Linked DNA regions of Mus musculus: all the other regions are reported to be linked to region 2. Evidence: microRNA targets listed by miRTarBase, many of them from high-throughput screens and not tested one by one. Region 2 holds a microRNA gene; each other region holds the end of a gene's coding sequence.

The links. The annotated mature microRNA mmu-let-7b-5p reads UGAGGUAGUAGGUUGUGUGGUU and lies in region 2 at 1,155-1,176, shown strand. An mRNA with a match to its seed (bases 2 to 7 or 8) in the 3' UTR can be bound and repressed. Matches are read on the target gene's strand: a 7mer-m8 pairs with bases 2 to 8, a 7mer-A1 pairs with bases 2 to 7 and ends in A, and an 8mer does both.
Region 1: the mRNA of Egln2 is a reported target of mmu-let-7b-5p. Seed matches in the 3' UTR shown: 7mer-A1 at 2,876-2,882.
Region 3: the mRNA of Zdhhc24 is a reported target of mmu-let-7b-5p. Seed matches in the 3' UTR shown: 7mer-A1 at 565-571 and 8mer at 1,516-1,523.
Region 4: the mRNA of Sdhaf3 is a reported target of mmu-let-7b-5p. Seed matches in the 3' UTR shown: 7mer-A1 at 3,340-3,346.
Region 5: miRTarBase lists Mtpn as a target of mmu-let-7b-5p. Seed matches in the 3' UTR shown: 7mer-A1 at 2,045-2,051.
Region 6: the mRNA of Ago3 is a reported target of mmu-let-7b-5p. Seed matches in the 3' UTR shown: 7mer-A1 at 666-672.
Region 7: miRTarBase lists Limd1 as a target of mmu-let-7b-5p. Seed matches in the 3' UTR shown: 7mer-A1 at 1,888-1,894.

What each region holds. Positions count from the first base shown.
Region 1 is chr7:27,155,791-27,159,857 of GRCm38, forward strand. It overlaps Egln2 (egl-9 family hypoxia-inducible factor 2), which reads right to left. Exons shown (of 6, transcript NM_053208.4): 4 at 3,997-4,067; 5 at 3,734-3,801; 6 at 2,868-3,421. The coding sequence ends at 3,366. It overlaps Cyp2t4 (cytochrome P450, family 2, subfamily t, polypeptide 4), which reads left to right. Exons shown (of 10, transcript NM_001100184.1): 3 at 1-5; 4 at 367-516; 5 at 726-886; 6 at 1,428-1,604; 7 at 1,681-1,822; 8 at 1,924-2,111; 9 at 2,362-2,503; 10 at 2,593-2,774. The coding sequence ends at 2,774. Among named protein-coding and RNA genes, the nearest start is that of Cyp2t4, 4.1 kb to the left of the region's middle.
Region 2 is chr15:85,706,171-85,710,237 of GRCm38, forward strand. It overlaps Mirlet7b (microRNA let7b), which reads left to right and starts at 1,149; the gene lies at 1,149-1,233. Lncppara (long noncoding RNA near Ppara) reads left to right here. Exons shown (of 2, transcript NR_110483.1): 2 at 384-1,354. It overlaps Mirlet7c-2 (microRNA let7c-2), which reads left to right and starts at 433; the gene lies at 433-527. Gm34622 (a long non-coding RNA gene) reads right to left here. Exons shown (of 3, transcript XR_384306.3): 3 at 2,701-3,815.
Region 3 is chr19:4,883,492-4,887,558 of GRCm38, forward strand. It overlaps Zdhhc24 (zinc finger, DHHC domain containing 24), which reads left to right. Exons shown (of 3, transcript NM_027476.3): 3 at 1-1,906. The coding sequence ends at 280. It overlaps Bbs1 (Bardet-Biedl syndrome 1 (human)), which reads right to left. Exons shown (of 17, transcript NM_001033128.3): 17 at 3,391-4,067. Among named protein-coding and RNA genes, the nearest start is that of Zdhhc24, 6.9 kb to the left of the region's middle.
Region 4 is chr6:7,038,375-7,042,441 of GRCm38, reverse strand. Sdhaf3 (succinate dehydrogenase complex assembly factor 3) reads right to left here. Exons shown (of 2, transcript NM_001077713.1): 2 at 3,222-3,588. The coding sequence ends at 3,385. Among named protein-coding and RNA genes, the nearest start is that of Sdhaf3, 84 kb to the right of the region's middle.
Region 5 is chr6:35,508,792-35,512,858 of GRCm38, reverse strand. It overlaps Mtpn (myotrophin), which reads left to right. Exons shown (of 4, transcript NM_008098.4): 4 at 542-4,035. The coding sequence ends at 628. Among named protein-coding and RNA genes, the nearest start is that of Mtpn, 29 kb to the left of the region's middle.
Region 6 is chr4:126,341,787-126,345,853 of GRCm38, reverse strand. Ago3 (argonaute RISC catalytic subunit 3) reads left to right here. Exons shown (of 19, transcript NM_153402.2): 19 at 272-4,067. The coding sequence ends at 380. Among named protein-coding and RNA genes, the nearest start is that of Tekt2, 18 kb to the right of the region's middle.
Region 7 is chr9:123,518,444-123,522,510 of GRCm38, forward strand. Limd1 (LIM domains containing 1) reads left to right here. Exons shown (of 8, transcript NM_013860.2): 8 at 663-3,109. The coding sequence ends at 800. Among named protein-coding and RNA genes, the nearest start is that of n-TRacg2, 9.0 kb to the right of the region's middle.

The sequences.
Region 1 (4,067 bases), not on the chromosome of region 2:
AAACGGTGAGGCCCAGGGTGGGTGGAAGTGAGTACTAGACCCCTCAACTTGGTCTAAGGACCAGTGAAGCCGAGCAAAATGGGAGGTGCCTAATAAAGAATGGTGCTAATGAGGACGAGCTATTAGGCCTGGGGTCCAGTAGAGGTTCACAATGTAACCAATAGCAGCCTAAATTCCTAAGCCCTAAGAGCTGGTCAGGGATCCTACCCTCAAAGATGTCAGGCTGCGTGGTTTCAGCTGAGGTGCTTGGCATATGGTCTGGGAAGTGCAAAGCAGTAAGAAGTCATCCTTAGAGCGGCAAGGAAGCGAGCGACTAGGCCCAGCGTGGCCAACTCTTTTTTTTTTTTTTTTTGGTTCCCACTGTAGGCATAGTGTTTTCTAACGGGCCGCGTTGGCACTCGCTTCGCAACTTTGCACTTGGAGTGCTGAGGGAGCTTGGCGTGGGTAGGAGTACCATTGAGGATCGCATCCTGGAGGAGGCAGCATGTGTGCTGGATGAATTTCAAGCTACCATGGGTGTGGTCTGGCAGGGAAAGCATAACCACCTGGTTTGGGGTCGGGGGTGGGGGGGAAGGGGGGGATGGATGGAGCTATGTGGAGGAGGGACACAGCTTCTGTGTGAGGGTGCTAGAGGCTTGAGGACGAGGGTCTCCTCTGCAGATCTTACTAAATGTCACTTTTAGGGGACCACAGCTTGATTACTCAGAGCTGCTCTCACCCCCCAGGAGCTCCATTTGACCCCCAGCAGCTACTGGATAGTGCTGTATCCAATGTCATTTGTACTGTGGTTTTCGGAAAGCGCTATGACTATGGGGACCCAGAGTTCCGGAGGCTCCTAAACCTCTTCAGTGACAATTTCTGTATCATGAGTTCCCGATGGGCTGAGGTGAGAGGATGGGCTCCAATTTCTCATTTTACATGCAGCCTTGTGCCAAATTCCAGGGGCATAGCCCTACCTACAGTGGCTACAGATTTAATGACAAAGTTCTACAACACACAAAGTCCTGATTTAATTTTTCCACAAAGAAACCATGGCCTTGTCCAGGGCCCTATTAAGACCATTTCAGCAGGGTATGATGGCACATGCCTTTGATCCCAGTACTGGGAAGGCAGAGGCAGGAGAATCTAATTTGAGGCCAGCCTGGTCTACATATAAAGTTCCAGGTTAGCCAAGGATAGTGGGAATAAGAGAGAGAGAGAGAGAGAGAGAGAGAGAGAGAGAGAGAGAGAGAGAGAGAGAGAGAGAGGAGGGAGGGAGGGAGGGAGGGAGGGAGGGAGGAAGGAAGGAAGGAAGGAAGGAAGGAAGGAAGGAAGGAAGGAAGGAAGGAAGGAAGGAAGGAAGGAAGGAAGGAAGGAAGGAAGGAAAAGGAGAGGGGAGGGGAGGAGAGGTGTGGAGCAGAGGAAAGGAGAGAACCCTGTCTCTCCAGATATATAATATGTTCCCATCCTTCATGGACTGGATCCCTGGGCCCCACAACCGAATATTTAAAAACTTCCAAGAGCTCCGACTCTTCATCTCTGAGCAAATTCAGTGGCACTGGCAGTCACGACAGACTGGGGAACCCCGTGACTTCATTGATTGTTTCCTCGACCAAATGGATAAGGTACCAGTCCCTGCTACCCTTAACCATACCCACCCTGCCAAGCAGCAGGCATTAGAGCACCTCTGTCCATTCCCAGGAACAGCAGGACCTGGAAAGCCATTTCCAGGATGAGACACTGGTGATGACTACTCACGATCTTTTCTTTGGTGGCACTGAAACCACAAGCACTACTCTACGTTATGGGCTCCTCATTATGCTCAAGTACCCTGAGGTGGCAGGTTTGAGAACTGGGTCCATCCCTCCCCTCCCCCTAAGTGAAGAGAGGGTGGCTGGGGTGGGATCTCAGTAAAGCACAACTCAAAGCCTCCAATGACCGCAGCCAAGGTGCAAGAGGAGCTGGACGCCACTGTAGGTCGGACCTGGGCCCCTAGAATAGAGGACCGTGCCCGCTTGCCTTACACCAATGCGGTGCTACATGAGATCCAGCGTTTCATCAGTGTGCTACCACTGGGGCTGCCCCGGGCCCTCACCCGAGACGTAAACCTCAAGAACCACTTCCTGCACAAGGTGCACATGGAGCCTGGGAATTCTGCACTGGGGAGAAGGGGACAATTCAGAGACTAGGTTCGGTGAGGGCTAACACAACCAGTACCTGGGGCTCCCTCCCAGGCTCTGCCAACCACCTTAGGGGCTGGGGTGTAGCTATGTGAGATCACTTGCCCAGCACCGCAGGGCCCTGTGTTAGGTGCCAACAACAGAAAGAGTCTGGGTGAGGGGCTCACACTCAAGTCTGTGGGTCACACTGTTTTACCCACAGGGCACATTCGTGATTCCCCTACTTGTGTCTGCACACCGGGATCCCACCCAATTCAAGGACCCTGACCATTTCAATCCCACCAATTTCCTGGATGACCATGGCGAGTTCCAGAACAACGATGCCTTCATGCCCTTTGCCTTAGGTCTGGGGTAGGAGGGAGGGGACCTGAGTGGCTAGCACTGGGGGACTGGCAGGGGCTTGCTCATCCCACACCTGCACCCACACCCACAGGAAAGCGGATGTGCCTGGGTGCTGGCCTAGCCCGTTCCGAGATCTTCCTCTTCCTGACGGCTATCCTGCAGAAGTTCTCCCTGCTCCCTGTGGGAAGTCCTGCCAACATCAACCTTAACCCACAGTGTACTGGTCTGGGTAATGTGCCCCCAGCCTTCCAGCTCCGCTTGGTGGCCCGCTGAGCTTGGGCTTCACTGGTGATCTCAGTGGCCCTGATATCCTTACCTGCCCTAACTGTATGTGTAAATCTCTTTACAGAGAGGAATACAAGTGTGTGCAGCTCTGAGGTAAACTTTTATTTCTTGGCTGGCAGAACCTCCATACCCATGCTCGTCATGGCACCCTACTCTGCCCAGACAGTGGCAGCCCAGTCCATACACTGCCACAGCCAAAGGGGCTGGGGAGTCACTTCACATTCCAGGCCGGAGGAGTGGGGACGAGGGTGAGATGACACCCACACCCCAACACACCTTTCCAGCAAGAGGCCATGACTCACCTCAACCCCAAATCCTGCCTCTTCTCAGCTCTACACTCAACGGACCAGACACAGCCACCAGTCATGACCGCCAGCCACACTGGCCACTGCCCAGGTCAAAACCCAGCACCGCTCGCTCACGGGGCAGCAGAGGTCTCTCCTTGTTGCTCCTCAGTGATACTTAGTGCCCTCCACACCACACAGTACAGAGGCAAGCCAGAAGCAGCAGCAGTGGCAGGAAAGGAGCGGGCACTGAGGCAGGAGCTGCTGCTGGTCCACGCAGCTCTGGGGCTGGCCATTAGGTAGGTGTAGTTGGCTGTGATACTGGTACTTGAACACCTTTCTGTCCCGATGCTGAGGATGAGAGGAAGACAAGAAATTGTGAATCACTAGGAAGGGACAAAGAAGCCAAAAGAAACCTGCGAAGATGGGGAGAACATTAACAGAAAAAAAAAAAAAATGGGTCTCAGGTAGGGGATACCAGGAAAGTAGGCAAGAACTGGGCAAAGGGACTGGTGAGAAAGACCTGTGGGAGCGGGCTGGCGGCAGTGCTGGCCTAGTGTGGCAAAGGCCCTGGGAACCACTCTCAGCACCCAAGGGGGTAAGAAAGGCTAAGGACCTGGCAGCACACAGGGACTAGGAAGGACAAAGGAAGAAAGCACGTACCTAGCTGATACTTGTCTCTGGCTGCTGCCCGTTCCTTGGCATCAAAATACCAGACAGTGATGGCGTACCTGAAAAATTGGGCAGTCAGAATGACTTTTCTGCCATTCTAGAGCCACCTCAGCTGACACCTCCACCCTTGCAGGTCCCACTTAGGCCCTCTCAGCATCTCATCACTCCCCTGTCAACTCTGGGGACTGGGGACAAGCTAAGAAATGTTTGGCACAGGGGAAGCAGCTGGACAATCCCTAAAGTACAGGTCATACCTGGTGGCATAGGCTGGCTTCACCTCATGTGGGTTCCGTCGGTCAGACCAGAAAATGAGCAACCGGTCAAA
Region 2 (4,067 bases):
CTTCCTGCCTAAGGGGAAGAGGGTACATGCCCAAGGCTACTACTTAGCAGGAGTCCTGGTGATTCTACTACGCTAGAGTTGAGTGGACAGAGGCTGGGTCTCAGCCAGGTGGACACTGGAAGCACCCTGGACCTTGGTGGCCTTTAACAAATGACACCCTTCCCCCATTGTGGCCATTCCTGTGCTCAGTGCCCCGTGCTTTCTCTCTCTTCTCCCCGTTTCCCCGTCTCCCCGTCTCCCCTTACTCTCTCTGTGATTTTGTTTAAATGTCCCTGGCCCATTTTGAGAAAATCCCAGTCTATTAATACCCTCAGCACTGAGCGGCCTGTGTCGGGGGTGGGGGGTGGGGCTCACCATGTCCCCAGCTCTCCTTCTTCCTCTAGGAGGGACCTCAAGAAGCCACAACATCCAGCTCTACGCCAAGACTGACTGACGGCCTTTGGGGTGAGGTAGTAGGTTGTATGGTTTTGGGCTCTGCCCCGCTCTGCGGTAACTATACAATCTACTGTCTTTCCTGAAGTGGCCGCAATATCTGCAGTGGATACAACGGCGGCCCTGGCTGGGGAGACTGAGGGAGGGACAGGGGGGTGATAACTACCATGCAAAAAGAGCCTGACAGAGACCTTGGATAGTCCCTTGACCTCTCTGGGCTGTTACTCATCTGTATAAGGGTTGGGGCATAGCGATGAAAACAGACAGCATTTTCAGGGCACCTTCTCTCCCTGGCCCACACTGAAGGGGCCTTCCTGCCCCTGGCCCCATATCAGACCTGTGCTCACAGGTCTCCATGAAAAGAGGGTCTGGACTAGACCTTCAACTATGTTCCAGAGTTGCCCAGGCTTTCCAGCGCAGGGTCAGGCCTCTGACGAGCAAGCGTCTCTTCCGAGAAGAAATTGAAAAGGAGCCATTCTTAGCACACCCATGAGTACAGCCTGCAGATGGACCGTGTAGGCCACTGTCCCCTGTCCCTGGGGCAATGGGTTCAGACACCAGAGGCTTCCTCAATCTGTTTGGTAGGCACAGGCCTTTCTCACTGAACCTCTGTCTCCACTTCCCCCTCCCCCACCCCGCCCTGTGCCCTATGGCTCTAGTGGCCTGTGGCCAGGGTGGGTGGGGAGCGGCTGGGCCTCCTCCAGAACACGGACACCGCAGGGTGAGGTAGTAGGTTGTGTGGTTTCAGGGCAGTGATGTTGCCCCTCCGAAGATAACTATACAACCTACTGCCTTCCCTGAGGCGCCCAGGGACACAGCTACATGGAGGCCCCCGCTCAGCAAGCTAAATGGAGCCACAGATTGGGTGGGGGCTATGACGTGGGACCTGGGTATAAATAAAGGATGTTCTGTCATGAACTTACAACTGGTCTTTGGTCATTTTGGAAATACGGAGACTGGCCGTAGAGGACATGAGATCGCCAACCACACATTGACACGTTTGCATGCATGAAACATTGCCAGCAAGAGCTGCTCTGGGTAGTGAACAGTACCCTCCCCTCATCTTCCATGTGCCCCTTAGTGGCCCAAGCCCTGGACACCCAAGCCCCTCCACATGAGTGGAACAACAGACCCTATGACTCCAAGTCTCAGAGCACAGTACTGGCTTCCAGTGTCCCTCAGCCTGTGGTCCTAACCAGATCTGAGAAATTCCTGGCCTATTGTCCCTTCGTGCCTGCCTCCCTTGGGACAGTATTGGGACGGCTGTGGATGTAGCTTTCTAATCTTGGGCCAAATGGTCATATACCCTTCTTCCAGGGACCCCAAGCCTTCATTCAGGTGGTGGTAGTGGGGTGAGGGTCAGCCCTCAGCTAGTGTTAGCTTAGGAAGGTAAAGTCCTAGTCTTACCTGACCAGACACCAAAGGCCTCCCTCGTGGGTGGATACCTTGACCCTGATGTCCTGGCCTTCTCCCCATAATGAATCCCCCGAGTCCCAGCTCCCGTCCTGAACCCAATCTGCCTCAACTCTGCATATCCACACACCTCCATTGACGCACCTAGGCAGACCAAACACCCCTAGAGCCCCTCTATATCCACCCTCAGCTACCAGACCTCTCAAACTTAGCCAGCCATTTCCAAAGATCTGATACTGTGCTAGCCCCAGGGTTGAGAGTACCCAGAGGGACTCTCTGAGTACTCTCTGAGAGCAACAGGGATGGCTTCCCAAAGTAGGGGCTATCTGAGCTGGGTCTTGATGGCTGTATAGGAGTTGGCAGCTAGAGACACAGGAGTGGACACTCAGACACTCCGTGGCATGCCCCATTGTCTCCTCCCTGCTGTCCTTTGGAACATCGATGGTGGATGATAAATTGTCACCTTTTTACCTCTCTTTATCCTGTAGTCAGTGGTGAAGTCTGTTGACTCTTGCTATGCCTCCAGCCCTAGAGGAGTAGTCCTTCCTCCCCTCCCTTGTGCAGAGCTTTGCCCACTCTTCATCCCTTGCTGAATTAGTTAAGGTTTTACTGCTGTGAGCAGATGCCATGACCAAGGCAACTCCTATAAGGACAACATTTAATTGGGGCTGGCTTACAGGTTCAGAGGCTCAGTCCATTATCATCATGGCAGAAGAATACCATGACATAGGAAGAGCTGAGAGTTCTACATCTTGTTCCGAAGGCAAACAGGAGAAGACTGGCTTCCAGGGAGCTAGAGTGAGGGTCTTAAAACCCATATCCACAATGACATACTTCCCCTAACAAGGCCACACCTCCTAATAGTGCCACTCCCTGGACCAAGCATATACAAACCATCACACAGCCTACCTTCCATACTCTTCTGCACAGCCCAGCCCCCAACCCTTCACCCTCACACAGGCCCACCCTCTGGCTACCACAGCCAGCTGTGTCTGTGCAAGCAGAATGACATGCTGGCCAGTCACACCCACCTCCTGGCTCCTATGCTGCAGTGGGAGATGGCCTCTGCTCTGCAGAGTTCAAGTACTAGGGACACAGGACAGGACACACGGCGACCACCCAGTGGGGTAGCGTGGGAGCATCCGAGAGCTCTGAGGTGCTCTGCAGTCAGGGTAGCTTCCTGGAAGATGACCTCTGACATGTCCTGTGCCCCTCTCTACATTCTGTTGGCTCTTCTCTGACAACTGACTGTCACTAGAGATAGGGGTGCATGTGGGGATCAGGGTGGGTACGACACAGCATTCAGCAGAGTGGAAGTTCTGGGGTGCAGGGGAGTGGTTCAGCCCAGGGAGACCCTGTGCTCACTTCCCCACTTCCACAACCTACAAAGGAAGCAAAACACTTCCACTTAGAGGGTGGAGTCAGGATTCAAGGGCACCCCAGATTGTGCCTCAGGGAAAGTACCCAGGAAGGTCCTGGTCCCTGGCCGGCCTTCTGCTGCCACCTGCTGGCTAATCTAAGAAGTGACTCCTGGGGTTGTTAATCAGGAGCCAAGGAGATGCTGCAGGCTGGAGGTCCTAGGATACAACCCTCCGGGCAGGCTGGGACTGTTATCACGATGTGCATAAGTGTCTTTGAGGACAAGGTAGTTCAAGACCAGCGAGGAGAGCAGGCTGGACCTTGGGTGGCCCCAACACATGGAAACTGGGCTCCACACATCAGCTGGAAACCCAGGCAGCATGCAGAAGCCTCGCTGAGTCTTACAGAAGCAAGACTTGCACATCCTTGCCCCACCCGGGATGATTCTCCAGAGATAGAGGGTCTCCTGGGGGTGACATCCGTAGCAGTGGCAGAGCCAGCAGTAGCTGGCAGGAGGGCGGAGGTGGGGGTCTCAGGAGTCACAGAACTATATCCAGCAGCTTGAAGCTGAGACCCACGAGGATGTCAGTGCCCCTAAACAGCCTTACTTCCTTTAAAAATAAAGAAAATTGAACACAAATATCAGATATGTAATATATAATGAATGCTACATATAGTATGATGATCAGTATTAATACATACTATGTTTCATAGAGTGAACCCAGGCACACGTTCACTGCTTCCTAAGAGGAAGATACCCAATCCTGTGCAGAGTGACCCAGCAGGAGTCCCTGTGAGGTTGTACACATCTGCCTACACCACTCCTGACAGACACATACCAGGGGGGATTTGTGGTGTGTGTG
Region 3 (4,067 bases), not on the chromosome of region 2:
CCAGTTTGCCCTGGCCTTTGTGGTGGACACGTGTGTGGCAGGTGCACTGTTGTGTGGTGCTGGGCTGCTTTTCCATGGGATGCTGCTGCTTCGGGGACAGACCACCTGGGAGTGGGCTCGGGGTCACCACTGCTATGACCTGGGCACCTGCCACAACCTGCAGGCAGCCCTGGGGCCTCGCTGGGCCCTAGTCTGGTTCTGGCCTTTTCTAGCCTCTCCTTTGCCTGGAGATGGGATCTCTTTCCAGACTCCAGGTGATGTGGGTCTTGTGACTTCCTGAGTCCAGGTAGAGCCAGAACTGAACAGGGCAGAGGATCGAACTGAGAACTTTTTAGCTTCATGCCAGCCGCAGGAGGAAGGCCCGATTGCCCCTTCATGTGTGTAGTGGGCAGCTTTAGCTCCTTCTTTGAACCTGCCCAATGTGGGCTCTTCTATCTCTGTAGTTGGCCCTTTTGGCAGAGGATGGTCTAGCAAGGGGGCTACTTGGCCTGACCGACTGCCCCTCTGCAGGGTAGTAAAGTGCCAACCTGGTTCTTGGCCTCCTCCATCTTTGCTGGGTTCCTATACCTCACTTTGTTGTTTTGGTTGCTGTTTCCCAGGTCCCATGTCAGGCCTGGAGACTACAGAAGGCCTGAGATCCCAATGGGCCAGGGCTCTGCCACCTCTGGCCCTGGAAGGGTGTGGTGGGATCCAGGCAAGGAGAGTCCAGACGTGCTCTAGAGATTAGCACTAGAAACATGTCTACAGCAGGGGGTGAGGGAGCTCTAGCAGCTCACCCGTATGCGGGACCACAGTTAGAATCTTTGTTCTGTAAGAAATAGAAAAGCCCTGCTAGGCCATGTGACAAGATTGCTGGTAGAAATGTAGACCTTACTGGCCTCAAACTCAAGGAAGTCCACTGGCTTCTCCTTTCTGAGTGCTAGGATGAAAGACATTTGCCACCATGACTGGCCTAAGAGATTAGATTTGAACCCTTCCAGCTAGATTGTTTTATTAAATAAATTCATTATGAAATTCTATTTATTATTGTAAAGAGAATTAAAAAGGACCCAATCTTAGGCCTGGACAGAGAGACCAGACCACAGGAGTCTCAGGCTGTGTCCCTTGGGGGCTCTGCTGTGGCTGTAGATGGCCTTGCACACCCTTCACAGAGAGGCCTGGTCTTTGGTCTTTGGTCTTTGAATCTGCTTTACTTTTGCACAGCTGAAGTGAAAAAGGAACATCAGGGCCAAAATAACTAGCTTCCAAGCACTCCAGAGTTCATGAAGGGTAATTTTAACATTTGTTTGTGTGTGTGTGTGTGTGTGTGTGTGAGAGAGAGAGAGAGAGAGCGAGAGAGAGAGCATGGTGTATGCATGGACATGTAATGTGTGGGTACCATTGGCAACAAGATATTGTTTCTGAGATGTGTCCAAATTACTGCATGTAGTGATATGGTCCTCTTTTTCTCTTCCACATGGAGATCTGAATATACCTTAACCAAATCTTTTTTATTTTCTTCCACTGGTCATTTTCCTACCTCACCCCGACCCCATGTACACTCCCCCCACGTAGTGGGAATCACGCCCTAGGAGCCCTTGCTCTTCCATACCAGTCTGAGAATCAGCTCCTCAGATCTCACCAATGAAAGCCCACCTTGAAATAAGCGGGATCCAGTAGACCGTGTTAGCTTGTAGAAAGTAAGCGTCTGTGAAGTCAACCTTTCAGATCACGAACATGGTTTATCTCCTCAATGAATAGTTTTACTTTTGAGACAGGGTCTCACTTTGTAGCTGTGGTTAGCCTAGAAATTACTATTTAGACCAGATTGGCCTCAAACTCTGCCTCCTAAGCAATGAGATTAAATATGTGCACCACCATGCCAGCCTTCAATATTTTCAATAAAGCTTTTTTTTTCTGACAAAGATCATGTCTTTTTGTTTGTTTGTTTGTTTGTTTGTTTGTTTTTTGTTGTTTTTTTTTTCCAAGACAGTGTTTCTCTGTGTAGCCCTGGCTGCCCTGGAACTCACTCTGTAGACCAGGCTGGCCTCGAACTCAGAAATCCGCCTGCCTCTGCCTCCCGAGTGCTGGGATTAAAGGGGTGCGCTGCCACGCCCGGCTTGTTCATGTCTTTTGAGTAGATTTATTTTTATATTTTAATGTTACTATAAAGGATTTAGGCAGAGATTGTTGAGCACACATAAAGAGCACTAAATTTTTCTAAAGATTAATTTTCCTTTTGTGTTGGTGGGAGAGGCATACCTGTACCATAGCACATGTGTGGAGGTCAGAGGGTAACTTGTTTTTTCCCACGTGGAGGGACCTGGAATTGAACTGAGGTCAGCAGGTTTGACAGTGGGTATCTTTACTTGCTGGGCTGTCTCAATGGCCCCTCATTGTAGCTTCTTCTGCTTGCTGTATTTGTAATCATAACATCTTTGTTCTTCCTCTAAAAAACTATTTTGGTGGAGACAGCAGGTCCAACTGATCTGGAGCTATGTAACTCAAGATGGCTTTGAACTTTCGTTGACATTCCTGCATCAACGTTCTGAATTCTGGGTTTAGAGGTGTGAGCCACCACATCTGGCTTCCTTTTCCATTAAACTATTTTTACAGGGGCTGGAGAGCTGGCTCAGTGGTTGAGCACCGACTGCTCTTCCATAGGATGAGGGTCAATTCCCAGCATCCACATGGTAACTCACAACTGTCTGTAGCTCCCAAGATCTGACACCCTCACACAGACCAAGGCAAGACACCAGCGCACGTAATAAAAATAAATAATTAAAAATTATTTTTATGGTTCTTGCGTCTCTGCAATGGGTGAGATCACTGTGCAATATAGAATGCACCTTCACTTTTTTTACTTTCTATTTTAAACTTTTTATTTTATGCCTATGAGTACCTACATGAATGTATGTGAATCACGTGGGTGCCTAGTACCAAAAGAGGTGGTCAGATCCTCTGGAACTGGAGTCTCAGGCTATTGTAAATCTTGCCATACGGGTGCTAGAAAAGAAGCCCAGATCCTCTGCAAGATCAGCAACTGTTCATCCCTGAGCCACCCTTCCAGCTTGATTGTTTTATTAAATAAATTCATTATGAAATTCTATTTATATAGTAAAGAGAATAAAACAGGGCCCAATCTTGGGCCAGGACAGAGAGGCCAGACCACAGGAGTCTCAGGCTGTGCCCCTTAGGGGCTCTGCTGTGCCTGCAGATGGCCTGCACACCCTCTACAGAGAGGCCTGGGTTTTTGTGCAAAAACAAAATTTCACCCTCCACCTCTCCCCACCCCAGATGAAGGACTCTGTACTTTTGCTTTATTCTCTGGCCTCTGGTTCAATATCAGTTAAAGCCCCTGAGTGCTTCCTATTACCTCCCCCCCTACACACACAAAATAAAATAAATTCATTATGAGTTTTTGTTTAATTAGATGCTGTTAGGCTACTTACATATAAACAAATGCAAAACTTAAAGAGAAGAAAATATAAGAACTGAACACAGGAACTAAGAAAAACAGTTTGAAACGTAAGAAAAGCTTACAAAATTCTCACTCTTGGAAAACAAAGCAAAAAGATGACCATGAAAGAAGAAAATTAGGATCAATGCAGTCCTCTCAGTAGCGACCATCTGTCAGACAGAGCTTAACTGGAGCCCCAGAGAGAGAATAACAGCCAGCCCTGAGGAGGAATGCCCGTTACCCCCACCTCAGAGTAACAACTGGGACAGAGCACAGAAGACATGGGAGCTTCGCCTACAGGAAAACTGTTCCCAGCTTGTTTTACCACCCAGACTGTCACAACAGTGTCCAGACAAGCAGTGATATAAAGACTTGGGTGGTATCTTGTCAGGGTTCTCTAGAGTCACAGAACTTATGGAATGTCTCTATATATTATGGGAATTTATTGGAATGACTCAGGCTGCAATCCAACTAACCAACAATGGGCAGCTGTGAATGGGAAGTCCAAGAGTCTAGTAGTTGCTCAGTCCCATGAGGCTGGGTGTTTCAGCTGGTCTTTTGTATAAGCTGGAATCCTGAAGAACTAGGCTCCAACAGATGTGCTGGCAGGTAAGTGCAAGCAGGCAAA
Region 4 (4,067 bases), not on the chromosome of region 2:
TTACACTGTATCTAAGGGTCCTCCAGAGAAAGTTCACTGTGGAATTCAGATCCTAAGGGTGACCTGATCTGTGTTGAGCCACCATGGTGAAAGACATCCTGTTCCAGGAGGGATAGAAAGAGGAGCCAGGCTGCTCTAAATGTATCCTTTTGTTTCAAGATTTGCATCACCAATAGATTCCAAACACTTTCTGAGAACTATAAAGGAGAAAGAAAGGAGGCAATGAGTTGGGCCACCAGGACTGTTCCAGGACTTGGCCTGTACTCACTGATAACTCTTTTGAAGGTTATCTAGACTTTCGTCTGGTCTGTGGTCCATGCTGTCACTAAAAACCATGTGGAAGTCCATGATCTGTGCTCCTGTTGACTGTAAAGGGCAAAGAAGTGACATTTGCAGTGGTATCAATGACTGCAGATGCATAGTTGAGAAGAGACATAGGTTTTTGTGACAACCCTTCTCTGCATACCCCTGAAACAATAAGAGCCTGAACAGGAAACTATCAAAGATAACTGTTGTAAATGTGGTAAGGATGCTGAAGCCTAACTCTCTAGAACTGATGCCTTCTGGCAGCGTGCAGGTGGGGAAGGACTGTTTTCTTTAAGGGACTGGCCACTGGGAGTTTGATCATGTACCAGTATGTGGGCAAAATAAATTGGTATTCTTTCTTTTCTGGGGGGCATCACAAGGGTAGGGGTGGACCTAGGAGGATTAGGAAGTGAGTGTGATTGGGATGTATGATATGAAATTCAAAAATAATAAAAATATTATGTTGGGGAAGTTATTTTTTGGGTATTTCCTATGGTCTGACTCAGTATTTCACAGTCTAGATATATGTTAGACTGTTGTTGATGAACAATCATGCTTTCATGTGCCATAGCCTCTGCATCTTTTGTCCTGAATTTTAATAATTTAAGGCCCTCCCAAACTATAAAGCCTGTCCACTGAGGATTTTTTTTAATCCCTTCCTATTTCTCTGAGTTCTATTTTGGTCTTTCAAACGTGTGATGCTTTATTTCCGACAGACAGTTTAACTACCTCTTATTTGCAAATGTTTTGTTCTGTATTGCACATGTGTTAGTCCCAACACCTGAACTTCCTTGTGGTCTGTCTCAGTTATTTATGGGTTTAATTTACCTTGTGAGTTTATGTAAACTTATGACATTCCCTAGGACAATTATTTGTGGATCTGGTGTCTTCCCAAATGGTTTACATTTCTCAAGTACTTATTGGAGACCACTTTACACAAACTTTATAGCATAAACGTTTTGTTTTAGCCATTGAATTTGCAATGGCCTGCATCACTGCCCAAGTATTCAGAAGGTTTTCTTCTTCCTTACTCTAACCATTAGTGTACGGTTATAATGGTACTGGCTTCAAGGAAAAACGATTTCCTTGAGATCTTCCACTTCAGGTGGGCTCTGAGCTTTGTGTTTGGCATACACTGTGTTCAGGGACAATCAAAATCAAACCTGCAACACACTTGTGCAGAAGCTTCAGCTTTCTACTTGTAGAAGTTGACTTTCAAGTCCCTTCATCCCTTAGGATACCGGCAACTCGAGTGTTTCTTTCTATTCCACCTAAAAGTTTGAGTTTCTAGTAGGAAAGGTGATTACCTGTATAGAGTCCACCATGTTACTGAAAAGACAACCTAATGCTTTATGAAAATTCTATTTCAAAGCATCTTTTCTTGGTTACTAGTAACACCAGAGATTTTTCCATGTCTCAAAATGTCTTTGTAAAGCGAAATTTCAGTAGTCTTATTTATGGATCTGCTGCTGGCTGAGCTGGGTGGTCCAGTCTCCCTCACGGGCATGGGTCCTCTGGTGGGTAGCCCATGTGGCAGCCAGGAAAGCAAGTTTCTAATGCAAGGGTGGAAATGTGCCAGGCTTTAAAGTCTGGACCATACATTGGGGTTTTTGGTTTGTTTGTTTGTTTGTTTTTTGTTTTGTTTTGTTTGAGCAAATCAAGTTCCAAGGCCAGCGAGATGGATGAGGGAGAGAGAAGTTACACACTTACTTACAACAGAAATGGCTATCAAGAGAGGCTGGGATCTAGGACTACTGTGCAATCTACCAGACGGTGTTATCAGAATTCATAATGAGGAGGACTCTAGGGAAATGTAACATCTAAGCTGAACTGCAGATTAATTGATGAACTGGGTATATGTTAATATCATCCAGTATATTGAGAAAAAGTTTACTTTTTAATATGATTAGAAAGATCACATATATTTTGAAACACAGGTTAGAATGTTGGAAATAAGGTTTTAGTTCAATCTAGGAGGTATGAAGACCCTTGTGCTCACAGATAAGCACTAGGCAAATGTGGAACGTTAAACACACAGGGTTGCTCCTTCACAGGAAGGGATGCACAAGCTGTTCTCTGCCCAGCAGGTTAATAGCCTGCTGACCTAGACCACACTGGATCCTCCACAAGACACTTCTCTGTTGTTCTCAATCTAGAGAACCTATCTTTATACAAGTGTCACAGGCAGTCAATCTATAGAGCCTATCTTTCCTCTCTGATCTACTCCTTTCAAGACCAGATCTCCTACTGAACCTGACATTCACTGCTTCAGCTACACTGGCTGGTGAGCCACGGGGATGTGCCTGTCTCTGCTTTCTCATTAAAGCCTGCATCTCCATGTCTGCTTTTTATGTGGGTACTAGAAATCTGAACTCCGGTCCTCATGCTCTCACAGCAAACACTTTACCAGTTGAGCGAGCTGCCTGGCAAAAATTGTGTCACATCAGTATCCAGTAGGTCACCCAACATACATGCAGGTTTTGATAGATAATTTATTTTTAAATGTATGAGCCAACTTAGTATTTTTCATCTCCCCAACCTTTAGACAATAACTGAAATTCTTAACAATTGAATCTTAAGGCTTTTCTTAAAACTTTCAACGTGACTCATAGATGAAATTCTGAGTGATAGCCAGGTGTGTACTACTAAAGGAGAAATGGTGGGACTTTCAGAATCACAATATGTCTAATAGCAAACTTATTGGAATTCTACATCTTCCATTATTATGATATGTTTATTTAACTGATGAAGCTAGAGACAAATCAGGAGGCTAACACTTGATGGGGATAGAATTTAAAACAAATTCATATACAAAAAAATTTCAGCATAATCCCAAAGTATATCTTTTTTAACACCTTTCTTTAGTCCAGAAATTAAATTCCATAAAACTACATTCCACACAGCAAATAAATATGTCATTGCAATGATGACAAGTGCGTCATTTATGATTTTGATCATGCATTGTTCATACTGTCCAAAAATAAGAGACTATTCTGTAGCTGAAAGAATATATTTTAGAGAGTCAATGGTAGATGAGGTAACAGGTTATAAATGTAGCCACTTTGTTAAGATCATGTATCACAACTGTGGTTTTGTAGACTCAGTGATACTAAACTGCCTATTGGGTTTAGTAGCCTCTTGCATCAGCTCTTGCAACTGTCCAATTTGCTCATCACGAAAGTCATTGAGTTTTTCTTCTGGGAGAGAGGTGCCAAAACACGCTTTTCCAGTTGAGCTTTGTCTGCTGTCCTCAGCTTGTTGCCACAGCACTGCTGCGTACGTCTAGTAAAGACACACAGAGAAAGGGATGGTTAGATTTAAAAGCATTCATGCACACGTCCTGAGTCACAGGGACTGCAGTTTCTCATTCCCAAGTCACTAACTGAGCTCCATCACTAAATTTTCTGCAGTTGATTAAAAAGCTACAAACAATCATGGTTTTCATCTTCAGACATGATTTCAAGTAGATATTATTTTAGGATTCTAAAGTGTTTTTGCAGACATTAGGAAAGTTCTTAATCTGCAAACAAGTAGTAGAGGTCTGCTTTAGAAGTATGCATTGCCACCAGCCAGACCATGTACACACGGTTCTGGGGCTATTAACTTTTCATCAGATTTTCAAAAGAAAACCATAGGTCTTAAAAGCTGAGAAGTGGGCTTCAGAATCCAGGAAGAAGGCTATTCCTCTCTCTGTCTTTACCTAAACATTTTAATCACCACACAAACCAACTCTTTCAACCTCCTAACATTTAGTGTTCGTC
Region 5 (4,067 bases), not on the chromosome of region 2:
TAGTATGTGTAACCTTGGAGGAGATGTGTCACTGCAGTTGGGCTTTGAGATTTCCAAAACCTACACCATTCCCAATCTCTCAATCTGGATTTATGAATCAGATGTAAGCTCTCAGCTACTCCTCTAGTGTCATGCCTGCTCTCATTCCTTCCTACCATAATGGTCATTGACTACCTCTCTAAAACTTTAAGCAAGCCCCCAATTAGATGCTTTTTTCTATAAGTTGCCTTGGTCATGGTGTTTCTTTACAGCAACAAAACAGTAATTAAGACAGTTGTTTTGTTTCTTATAATTTCTAACACCAAAAAAATGCATTTTAAAATATTTTTATCTTATTATTGTATGTATGTGAGTATAGCCATGTATGTGTTATAGCTCAGTATGAAGGACAGAAGACAACTGTCCAGAGTTGGTTCAGGCCTTCCACCATGGATTCTAGGAATCAGAGTATAAAAAAGGCCTATGCCACATAGCCACCTCTGGCACTTGCTGTTCCCTAGTGTAAGTTCAGTTAAAGAAGGTTCTCTCCTCTCTTTTTCAGGGTGCTGATAAGACTGTGAAAGGCCCAGATGGACTGACCGCCCTTGAAGCCACTGACAACCAGGCAATCAAAGCTCTTCTCCAGTGATAGATGGATGGACGGACTGATAACTTGGGAAGGATGACTCTCCTGTGGCCTCACACTGCTGCCTGTCTGTCTGTCACTTTCTATCTGCCAGCTTCTTCAGCTAAATACTTTAAGAGGGTGAAGGGAGAGAGAAATTCATAACAAATCAGACTGCCAGGGGAGGGGAATAAAACATGTTTTGGAGGAGCAGTGGGGAATGTGATGAGACTTTTACTGGGATTCCTGATCAAACCAGCCTGTTTTTCATTTCCAGTAAAATATACAGCTTATTCCCAAGGGAGAGCAAAAATACAGTCTATTGGAATCATTGGACCTTCTCAGCTCCCTAGCTAATTTATTAATTAGTTTATTGAAGGTCTGACTATACAAGGCCAACTCTACTTATTTGGTAGCCCTAGCTGTGAGCAGTAGTGGCTGCTGTTATGTCAACATAGGGTGCTGAGATAAGCAATTAGCTATAGCCTTCTGCCTTAAGAATGCACTCTCCTGGGGGCTCCTGGCTAGTTAAGAGCGGTTAGTGACCAAAATCTCTCTAGAATGACGTTAATCTTTACATAAGAGCTTAGATAAGGTAAGGAGCAGCGCACTCCTGAATTGCTGGATGACTAAACTTTGGATTTTCTCTCCCCTTTCACATCAATTTCATGTCTCTTTAGATAAAACTGACTAGTTTTATTTATAAAATGTTAAATTCTAGGAGCCTAAAGGAGGAATCATTCCAGTAGGCTTATTTCTTTTTTTCTCCTTTAGACTCAGACATTTATATAACATTGAAACACTTTGAGACTCCTTCTGGTAGTAAAGGAGATTTAAAAATAAAATCATAGCCATAAGCGTGTTAGTATCTTATAAAGAGAGAACAGTTGTCTTAGTACCTATGGAGTTTCTTCATTTGCTATTTGAGTGAGCCAGCCTTCGTTGTGTTTGGAGAATGAAGAATATTCTTTGGAATGCCTCTCAAAAACCCACCATGGATGCTGATTTTATAGTGCACCAAAGGTATCACTGGGGTGAGATGTACTGTATTTGGACAGATGGGACCTCATCCCTTCAAAAACATTCTTGTTACCATGTTCTCCTGAGCTGGTAATAGACTCTTGCTGGGCCAGTACCACCCCACCTGCATGGTGTTTTTATCTTAACAATCATTCTTTGCATACATGTGACAACTTCAAAATGCATTCTGTGTTCTTATAATACAGTGCCCTAAAACGGTATTCCTAGGACCTGCAGATAAGAGAAACTTATCTCTAACTTTTTCTTTCATGAACAATAAAATGAATTAAAACATACAACCTTAAATTTGATGGCCTACACTTTAAGTATTAAGATGTCTTTTGCTTTTAATTTGCCATCTATACAGGATTACAAAAACTATTAGAATCTTTCCATAGCCAATCATGCAATAATTGAATGTACCTCAAATTTTTAAAGGGTAGGTGATGGGATAGGGACTTATAATCACATTAGGGATAATAATATTAAAAACCTAACTGATTTTTTTTAAGGCATTGTAGCATTATATAGCAGGGTTAAACTATTACTAAGAACAATCAGCCTGGCTAATAACTATTAATCAGTTGATAATTGGTTGGGGTGTGTGTGTGTGTGTGTGTGTGTGTGTGTGTGTGTGTGTGTGTTCTCCCATGAACTCTTTTTTATCCTGTGGCTTTTTCACTTTCAACTAGCCTGCCCCTGTAGTTTTTCTATGTCCAAGAAAACAATCACAAAACAGTAGTTTAAATACTTTGATATATTTGGCTAGCTCTGCTGTTTTAATGCAGCCTACTAGAGTTGGATATCCTACACTTAATCTTAACCAAAAGGCCAAGCAGCTATAGAGTTGGACATTCTGCTAGGAAGTGGAAGGCACATGATCAGTCTATGAGTCAATATAATGCAACAGGGTGTTTTGAGACCTTTGTTTTCACCTCTTGGCATACTATTTTAAAGGCTTGAATTTTACCCTTTACACAATTTTCAATTTTTCTTTCAAAGTCTTCTGTTATAGTTGGCTATTGCAGAGTGTATATTGTCTTATCATTCCAGAACTTGGGTCTGCTTTCTACAGTCATTATGGTACCAAAACCATATGATTCTTTGTACAGTTTATCCCAGTGTTCCTTGTAATGCAGTAGAGGCTATTTTGCCTTCCCCCTTTGTTGGCCATTTTGTAAACCCATAGCTATGAAGTGATTGCTTGAGAAAATAGCATATAAACATAGACTAGGATAGACTGACCAGGATGGTTTACAGTTTCTTTAAAAAAATAATAAACAAAAATAAACAAAAAAAAAACTAGGTTATTTATAATGTATTTCTGAACCACTTGGCAGAGAAATTCATGACACTTAATGTTAATATTTTTGAATAAATGAAGCTAAAATGTCTGCTTTTGGTACAACACGCATTAATAAAAGGTTAAGTTTTGTTTTCCACTGAAGTACTATTTAACATCTCAGAAAAAAACCCTGCATGTTCTATAGTTTTATATTAAAATCCATCATTTCATATGCACTGTATCAAAAACAGGTTACTTGCCTGAACATGGTTAGTGTACTAACAGGTCTGCCCACCCCTACCCTCACCCCCAGCTTCATGCCAGCATATGTAGATTTGAGTTCTAACACAGCACTTGCATATCCCATGTGCACAAGCTCACCTTTCCAGAACCAGCTGGGCGCAGAAGAAAGGCAGTAACTGCAGCATGTGAAAGCTAAAACAAGTAGCCTTCTAGTCATTTCTTTCTTTCCCCAGCCAGATAAAAGGAGCTTCAATATATGTGTACTTGATTTTTATTCACTTCAGCTGAGCTGCTGTTTCCTTCATGTAATATTGTATACTGGGTTGTGTATAGAAGAAGCTGGTAAGAGTGCCCTCCTTCATAAATAAGCAATTGCAGTGTTTTGCATGCAAATTTAAAAAAATTTAAATTGTCCTGATTCTATTTTGTAAATGGAGAAACAATCTTTCTAAGCAGTATGGAGGAAGACTAGTGCTTTGTGCACTTTTGGTATATTTGAGTTCATGTTTCCACAATGTCATTCCCTTGACACAGTTGGGTTTCTCATAAGTATCCTAGTTCATGTACATCCGAATGCTAACTAATACTGTGTTTAAGTTTCGTGTTGCAAGAACAAATGGAATAAACTTGAATTGTGCTATAGATAACATGTTAGCAACATATTTATCCCCAGTCACTGTTGCCTTCCTTTCCAGACGTCCTTAACGATATGAAAATCTTGACTAACTTGAGATTTTAATACCATTTTATCCTACTTCTAGAAGAAATGAAGAAACCAATTATTAAAGAGCTAACGATACTAGATGCTGCTCATAGAAAAGCTTTTTTTTTTAACTTCAATATAAGTTTTCTGATACACATTGTTGCTGTATATGGGTCCAGGAAGCCTCCTATTAACTGAGAACAAGACACAGC
Region 6 (4,067 bases), not on the chromosome of region 2:
GTATGTATATGTATGTGTGTATATGTATATACACACACACATATACATATATGACAAAATGATATGGTGTCTGGGATTTGTTTCTAATTAATCCTGAGAAAATGAAAGAGCTAAAATACAATTGGCCATATTAAAGCTAAATGATAGACACAAAATTTACTACATGAGTCTCTATTTTCTAGTATTTTTGGAATTTCCTACAATATGTAATATTCTTCAGAGTTATTATATTGGAGCAGAATGTTTGTGTTCATTAACCCATCTCTTACAGTGCTGAAGGAAGCCATGTTTCAGGACAGAGCAATGGGCGAGATCCACAAGCTCTTGCCAAGGCTGTACAGATTCACCAAGATACCTTACGCACAATGTACTTCGCTTAACAAGTCCAAGTTTATTCTCCGTGACAAAGAGATGAAAAGTGAATCAACATACAATGTATGTTTCCAATGGAGTCAATTTGCTGGGGAGGCCTCCAGCCATACAGAAGCCAGTACTATGTAGAGGTCAGGTCCTTATGTTGATCCAAGGAAAATCGTTTACACTGTCAAAGAACGCAGCACCATTGTACACTAGGGAGCCAGCCGCTGCTTTTTTGCAGTCTCCTGTAGAAGATGCATCACCATTGTTTATTCTCACTTCTTACAGTCTAACCCTTTTAATGCCTTTACCTCAAGTTGCTTAGCAGCACAACTATCTCTGCAAAAAAGTAAAGAAAAATTGAATGGTGGTTTAAAAACACACAATTACACAAATAATGATTGTTCAGTTATATGTGCAGAAAAAGTAATGTGCATCTATTCTTGTAAAGGAGTCTGTATTTTCAATACCCTCACATTACTTCATGTGCATATGTATCTAGATCTAGGTTACTGATGTATATGTGTCTGTGTGTATATCTTATAGTTCATTTCCCTGGAGAACTCTTTCCTTGTATCCCTCCTTAGGCCGCACTCGTTTCCTTTACTGTCTCCCTTGCCTTCAGCATCTATACTTTGGTCCCTATAGCTACAAGTGACATTCCTATGTTCACACATATGGTTCACTTGAAGGAAGGTTTGACAAATTAGACTTCTGGTTTTCTTTATGTCCCTATTCCTAGCTCCTTTCACTCACACAGGAGTCCTCAGCTCCTGACGCCATGTTTGTGAGCGTCTGCTCCCTTTTGCTCTGGATTTACCACATGTGCACTGTGTTTGGAAACAGTGGCAACCTGGGGATTCTTTTTTGTAGTGAGTTTGTTAAAGCTGCTCTAAATACGAAACCTTGTCGGACATCTTTCTGATCAGTGCAAATGTTCTAAAGCCTCTGTTTGTATGAGTTATACCTGGAAATCCCTCCAAAACTCGATAGGATGGAAAAAGGAAGGAATTAGGGTTGGTTTGGTTTGTTTTTTGCTAGTTTACTCACTGCCCTTATACCTTAATGTGATTTTCTCACATATAAATATATACATACACACACACACATTGAAGTATAGCTCCCTTTGCCTTTATGTTCATTAGAATAGTGCTTTAATAATTATAAACTATATAGGCTATATCTTTTCTAGAACTAGAATCGTGTTTAAGAATGGAGACAGTTTTTTGCTCTCTTTTAGTGCAATAAGCAGTTTTACAGGAAAGTTCTGTCTGTCATCCTCACCGTGGATAGCAGGAAGAACAGACATCCGTAGTTTAAAGGGAACAAAGTAATACAGCCTTAATTTCAGAAGGAGAGCTTCATAATTTTCAGTTTTAAAGCAATTCCTTAAAATAATTTTAGCCAAAGGAGTAAAACCGATCAAAGGCGCCTCAGCTGTGAGGTCAGAAGCATAGTTGAACTTAAGTTTTTAAAAATGACAGTGAACAGCTTAAGATTTAAATATTCTTTCTTACTTATTGAAGAATTGTGCTTCTTTGACTAACAGGAATTGAGAAAATACAGGATGATTTTTTTCTATCTTTTTACCAGTATAACTTTCTCTTTAAAAATAAGATGGCAATGATGAAGGAAATTAGGACTTTGGTCATTTAAAATTAGTAAAATTTCCGAAATACAGTGAAAACTTTGCAAAAACTTAGTTTTCTCCACTTCTTTAATCAATAACCTTAATAACGTTGGAGCTGTCAAAGCTGAGTGTCTCAGTAATGGCAGGTTCAGGGAACTTTGCACTTTGTAAGTCATGAACATTGCATGTGAGTTTTCTCTGTTGTCCCCACCCTGGCTCTGAGGACAGACACTACAGATGTTTGTGGAATGCACTGTCGGCCTTTCAGAAGCCCCACCCCGCCATGAACAGGAATGCAGTTATGTCTTCATTTGCTCTCTTTAGTCCACATTGTAGCCAATTTACTACATTTCAATATAAAATCTGAGCCATGTCCTACAGGCATGAATTCTTCTGTCCCTTTGCCAGAACATAAAGAAAGTACTGTATTTTATATTTTTATTGCTTGAAGTATCTAAAATTCGATTCTCAATACTGTTTTAAAGCTGTTTACTGTTTACAAAGGATTTTCATGTGGTTTATACATTTTTCTCCTTCCAAAATATTCCCATCTCAACCCTGGCAAAAGAAAACTCCTTACAACATATTTGGGGTGGGTTGGTTTGCTTGCTTGTTTTGGAGACAACGTCTCTCTCTATTGCCCATGCTGGCCTCCAACCCCTGGGCTCCAGCAGTCTTCTTAACCTCTCTGGTAGTTGGAACCATTGGGCTCCTTCCATCATGCCTGGCTGTCGGGGAGCATGGCCAAAAGAATAGAGTGGTGCAGGCTCCATGGTAAAAGTCTTTGCCTGGGTTGTGTTTGCTCAGTAGAAGTAAACATGTTTTTCAGCCCCTGCACATTCACATGAGGAGCTTTAGGGAGTCGCATGGGCCCTGTCCCTTTCCTGACCTTTGGTCTCACACATGCCAGAGTGAAGCCCTTACTTTTAATTCTTATTTAAAAGGATTTTTTAAGGGGAAGAATTTTTTTTCTAAAATATAAGGTTTTATCTTTTAAATGGCTTCTTTTTTAGAATGCATTTATATTATTCAGTCTTGCTAGTTTAAGATAATTAACTTAGGATATGTATAGTGTATTTCTGTTTTGCCTACTAATAAATTGTTATACCAAACTTAATGCCAACAAACTTTATGCTTAGAATTTTAAGATTAAAAGGCCTATAGAAAATACTTCTTGAAATTTATACTATTTTTCCATTTCTGGTTAGAATTCCTAATCTTTTTCTTAAGTTCCTTTCAGTTTAAACATCATGAAGCCATAGTAACATTTCTCCTCTACCGTACTCTTGCTCCTAGCTGATGAATGTCAGCTTGTGGGGTTTTTTTGTTTTTTATGGTATGGCTTATAAAACTGACTAAAATGTCAATCTGAACAACTTATAGAATCGATTCTCTTGTTAAGAAGAGTTGAGAGTTTAATGTATATTCTTGATGGCAAATGTGTCTGTAGAGTGTGCATGTTACATGTCTATATTACAGTATCTAAGCACTGGCATTGATACCATATATTAATAATTCTGTAGCTGCTATATTTATTGAGGCAGAGTCTGACATTTACTGCACTAAACAATGAGACAAGCAAGATGCCAGGCAGTCAGACACTTTTGGTTTCTTAGGTAAGTTTAAGGACATAAAACATGAAGGTAACGAACAGCGGGTACTTGAAACAGTGCTGGCTTCAGTTTAGTAACAGAATACCTTTGCTTTAGAAACGTGGGGTTTTTACATTGACATCCACATGAGGGTCTTCAGTCTTCTCAGTCCTGGGCTTGGGCACATTTCTACATAAATACGGATGACCTTTTATTTTATTAATAGATAATTATCTTTTAACAATTTTCCAGGAAAAAATAGTCTGGAAATACCTCTGCTTATGACCTATTAGTTTATTTTTGTTCCTAAAGAGAATCTGGAAGGGACTCCAGTAGGAATGTTCTATGTGTTTTGGAAGGCATTTGATAAAGATTCATCTCTACCTTCTAGCAGAGAGACTCCTCACCTTCAAAAGACCCAACAACTTTTCTAAGCCAGGCTCTCTATGGTGCCAGTAGCCTAATAATGACTTTCATCGTGTCTTGTA
Region 7 (4,067 bases), not on the chromosome of region 2:
GGAAGAGGTGTCGTTCCCTCCTGGGTAAAGAATGTTCTGTCAGAAACATCTGTCTGAACTGAGCCCTGGAAATGAGAGAGAAACCCCTTCTGGAAATAGGTACATTGATTGGTTGGTTTTAAGGTGAGGGGTTGGGGTTGGGGCTGGGGGTTCTCTGACCTGTGCGATGTTCTACATTGGAAAAACCGTGAGTGCCTCACGACTGTCAGAAAAGCCAGAGGTCATGCTGCCCCAATCTTCAAGGCAGGAGGATCAAAAGTTCAAGGTCATCCTTGGCTACAGAGCGTATCTAGCCTTGGCTACCTGAGACACTGTCTCAAAAGAGGGGCGGGGGATGTGTGGGATTAATTAACCAACCCTAAAGATGCATAGTATTATCATTTCAATTTGTAGCTCGTAAAAAATTTGTGGCCCAAGAAAAATAGTTTTCTATCTTTGGGCCTTCTGTCTCAGAAGCCTGGTATGTATTTGCTTTGAAGCTACATCTCAGTTCCAACCAATCGCATTTGAGGAGCTCCGTGGTCACAAGCAGCCACTGGCTCTTTCACTGGACAGGAGCTACCGACAACCACACAGCCCCCCTTAGTGACTGGGTGGATTGTGGTTTCATGTTATTCTCGCAGTCTGCTTTGTTTCTCTGGAACATTCTTGCCTCCTTGTAGGACTGTGGTCTGGAGCTCAATGACGAGGACGGTCACCGCTGCTATCCACTGGAGGACCACCTGTTCTGTCACTCCTGCCATGTCAAGAGACTGGAGAAAGGACCCTCACCTGCACCCCTCCACCAGCACCACTTCTAGCAAGGAGACACAGTGGAGATACGGGGCCAGCCTGCTGGGGGAAATGTCTGTGTAGCACTTCTGAGCTCCCCCACAGCTGGGGCACAGGAAGAGGAGGGGCAGGAGGTCAAGTTCCTGTGTGTGTGAGTGTGTGTGCGCGTGTGAAGAGGGTATCTTCCTTCTAACCGCAGCAGTGTGCACTCCCCATCCAGTCCATGTGTTTTCAAAGTGCTTTTCTCTATTGCCACACTCTCGCTGAATCACTCAGGAAGATGCTCCAGCTTGCACGTGGCCCCTGACACAAGATGGGGCTTTTGTGACTGGACACATCCTAGTCCCTGGAAAGCAGGTTTTCAGGTTGTGTTGAGCACATTCCACAGTGTCCCTAAAGAGAAACCTTGATAGAGGTGAGCAGCACTTCCTCTGGGCGAGCACCTGCACCCGGATAACCCTCACACAGCCCATGGTGTGACTTAACAGTTCAGTCCACTTCAGAGCTTTAGCTCTTCTGAGAATACTTCAAACACTTGACTGCATTGCAGCTAGAAAGAGGCTCTGCATATGCTTTGTACATTGGAGTTTGCTTGGTGAAGGAGAGCCAAGCTTGGACATCTGGGAGGCTGGGTCTCCCTGCTGTGCCTCTGCCTTTCCTCCTGCACCTAAGACAGTGGGGTTGGGGCAGAGGCTTGCCCTGTCCTATGCAGCCAGCTCAGAGAGAACTGGTGCAGGCGCCAGGCTTCTCGTCCATGCTTGGTGCTGTGTTTTCATTGCTTCCTCCAGTCTGTGACATTGGAGTTGCTTCCTCAAGGTGAGTCTGAGGCTTCCTCATATCCCTGTCACCTTGTTCAACTCATTTGAACATGACCGTTGGGAATCCCAGTCCATATCCTGGGAGAGAGCTACTTCTAAAAGGAAAGTTTTGTGTGTGAGATCTCAGAGCTAGCACCAGAGGGAGTGCCCGAGCTTGTTTCAGCGGACTTGTATCTCTCTGGTCCTCTTCTCAGCACAGACATTTGCTTGGTTTGAGGAAACTAATATAAGGTACACTGCTTTTGTCTGTTTTTTTAAACGTCATTCTTTCTCTCTACCTTTTCCCACACACAAAACATACCTCACAGATAGTTTTCACCAAATCACAGATCAAAGAGGAATTCATCCATCCTATTGGAGACTGTTGGTGTATCAGCAGTGGCCGTTTTCCAACTCTTGAACTACAGCTAAGCAGTACAGTCGCAACACAAGGTCTTCTGAGACTAGCTGCAACTGAAGTCATGAGTTCACTCTGGCCTCATGTGCCTCTGCATGCTGGCTCCCGAGGTTGCCAGGCTAAGATGGAGACCACATGCTGTCAATATTAAGACCACTTCTGAGGTGGATATGTGGACATACCCGTCCTCCCAACATTTGAGAGCCTGAAGTTTGTGAAGAAGGAGTTTAAGGCTGTCCTCAACTACATGAGGTCATGATCTCACTCAAAAAAAAAAAAAAAAAAACTTAAAAGAGAAAGAAAAAAACCCCACCCAGCATTGAAGAACATAATTAACTTTGCCTATCACTTCCCGAGGCCAGAGGTCAGTGTCTCCTTGGAAGTTCAAATGGGTAAAACTGGAAAAACAAAAATGAAATGGGTTTCCATCTGCTGTCTTATCTTCAGGGAGTGTCCCGTGACTTGTGGCAGGAAGGCTGCAGTGTCTTACTTCAGCAGTCAGGCTGGGTACCCAGCAGCTGGCTTGGGTGGTGAAGCAAGGCCGGTAGAGCTCCTGCCACATGTGAATGTGGACTCTTGACTAGGCCTCAGCTAGACCTGGTAGCTACTGCAATCCTGCTGACCTCCATTGCCTATGAGAAGTTCAGAACTAGCACTGTGGATCAGGAGCATCTTTTTCATTTTTATCAGGTTCCTTCTGTTGGGATCCTTTGGCCAGATGTTACTCGTTTCCTGTTCTAGACAGAGGCCCCCTTAAAAAAAAAAAAGCTATGAATGTATGGGGTCACCGAGATAGACCCTGAGACCAGCGCTGTTTTCTCTCTTTGGTTTCCCGGGCTGGCTTTGGCAAGGGTGGCAGGGAAAGGAGAAAACACAATGTCTTTGCCTTCCTGGAGGCTCTGGTAGAGTCTAATTTTGTGTCAAGATGATTGATGAAGATTGCAGTGGAATTAGTGTCTGAGGTAGATGGGATTTGTTTGCAAATTGAATAATTTAAAACTCTGTGATTAATTTTTAAATGAAATTAAATGAAATTCCTGATTGAAGTGATTCAGATCTGTTTGCAAATACTACATTTTATATTATCAAAAAAGCAATAAAGAAATTTGTAGACTTCCCAGAACCCCCAAGACTGTCTTCTTTGACTGTTTGCTGGAGAAGGCACCACTAAGGGTCTCATTGTTTCTCTCTATCTCAGGCCTGTGCAATAAAACATGAAGATATATTCACTTATCTGGGATTTTAAATGTTCTATAAATTTTGGCCAGATAGAGCTGTAAGGAGATTATACTTATAGCTATGTAGGAGGGAACGAAGGGAGGTGGTAGGGATGCTATGCTTTGAAAGTTAGAGCAAATAGCCTTTTCAAGAATCCTGTATAACTCTTGTACCTTGGATAAAAACAAGGAGATGGAGGCAATCTCACTTCCAGGGCTAGCCTCTGCTATCACCCTCCTTATTCTGACCATAGGTTTCAGAAGAGCCTTCAGCCTTAACAAAGTTACTGGCTACATGTTAAGTATGACAGGACTTTCCATCCTTCTTGCTAGTGCCTATGTGAACCCCTTTCAGCTGAGTCCTGTGAGGGTCGAGTGTTGAATCCCAGGAGGCAGGCAAAAGAATCAAAATGTTTTGAATACTTTCAGTACTTCCATGGCTCCGTATGGCCTTCAATCACACAAAATACAAAACGGGATTGTTAAGATTCAGAATCCACAGTCCTTTGCAGGCATTAAATACTGCTCTGAGTACCCTTTTCTCGCTCGGTGAAAGTGCTGTCTACCAGTTAGATCCCTTGCAAAGACTAGTGTGAGACTTGACTCCAAACTCTGGTTGCAGAATACACTTGTAAAACCTCTCAGGCGGAGAGAGAATTCTGTCAGTAAAGTGCTTGCATGAGGACCTGAGCCCAGTTCTCATAATCCATGTAAGAATGCCAGGTGTAGTGGTGTGGGAAAGTGGGGGGCGTGTGACTAGCTTTTGGACGAGAAAAAAAGTTCTGATATGAAGTTGTCTTAGTTAGGGTTTTACTGCTGTGAACAGACATCATGGCCTAAGCAACTCTTATAAGAACAGCATTT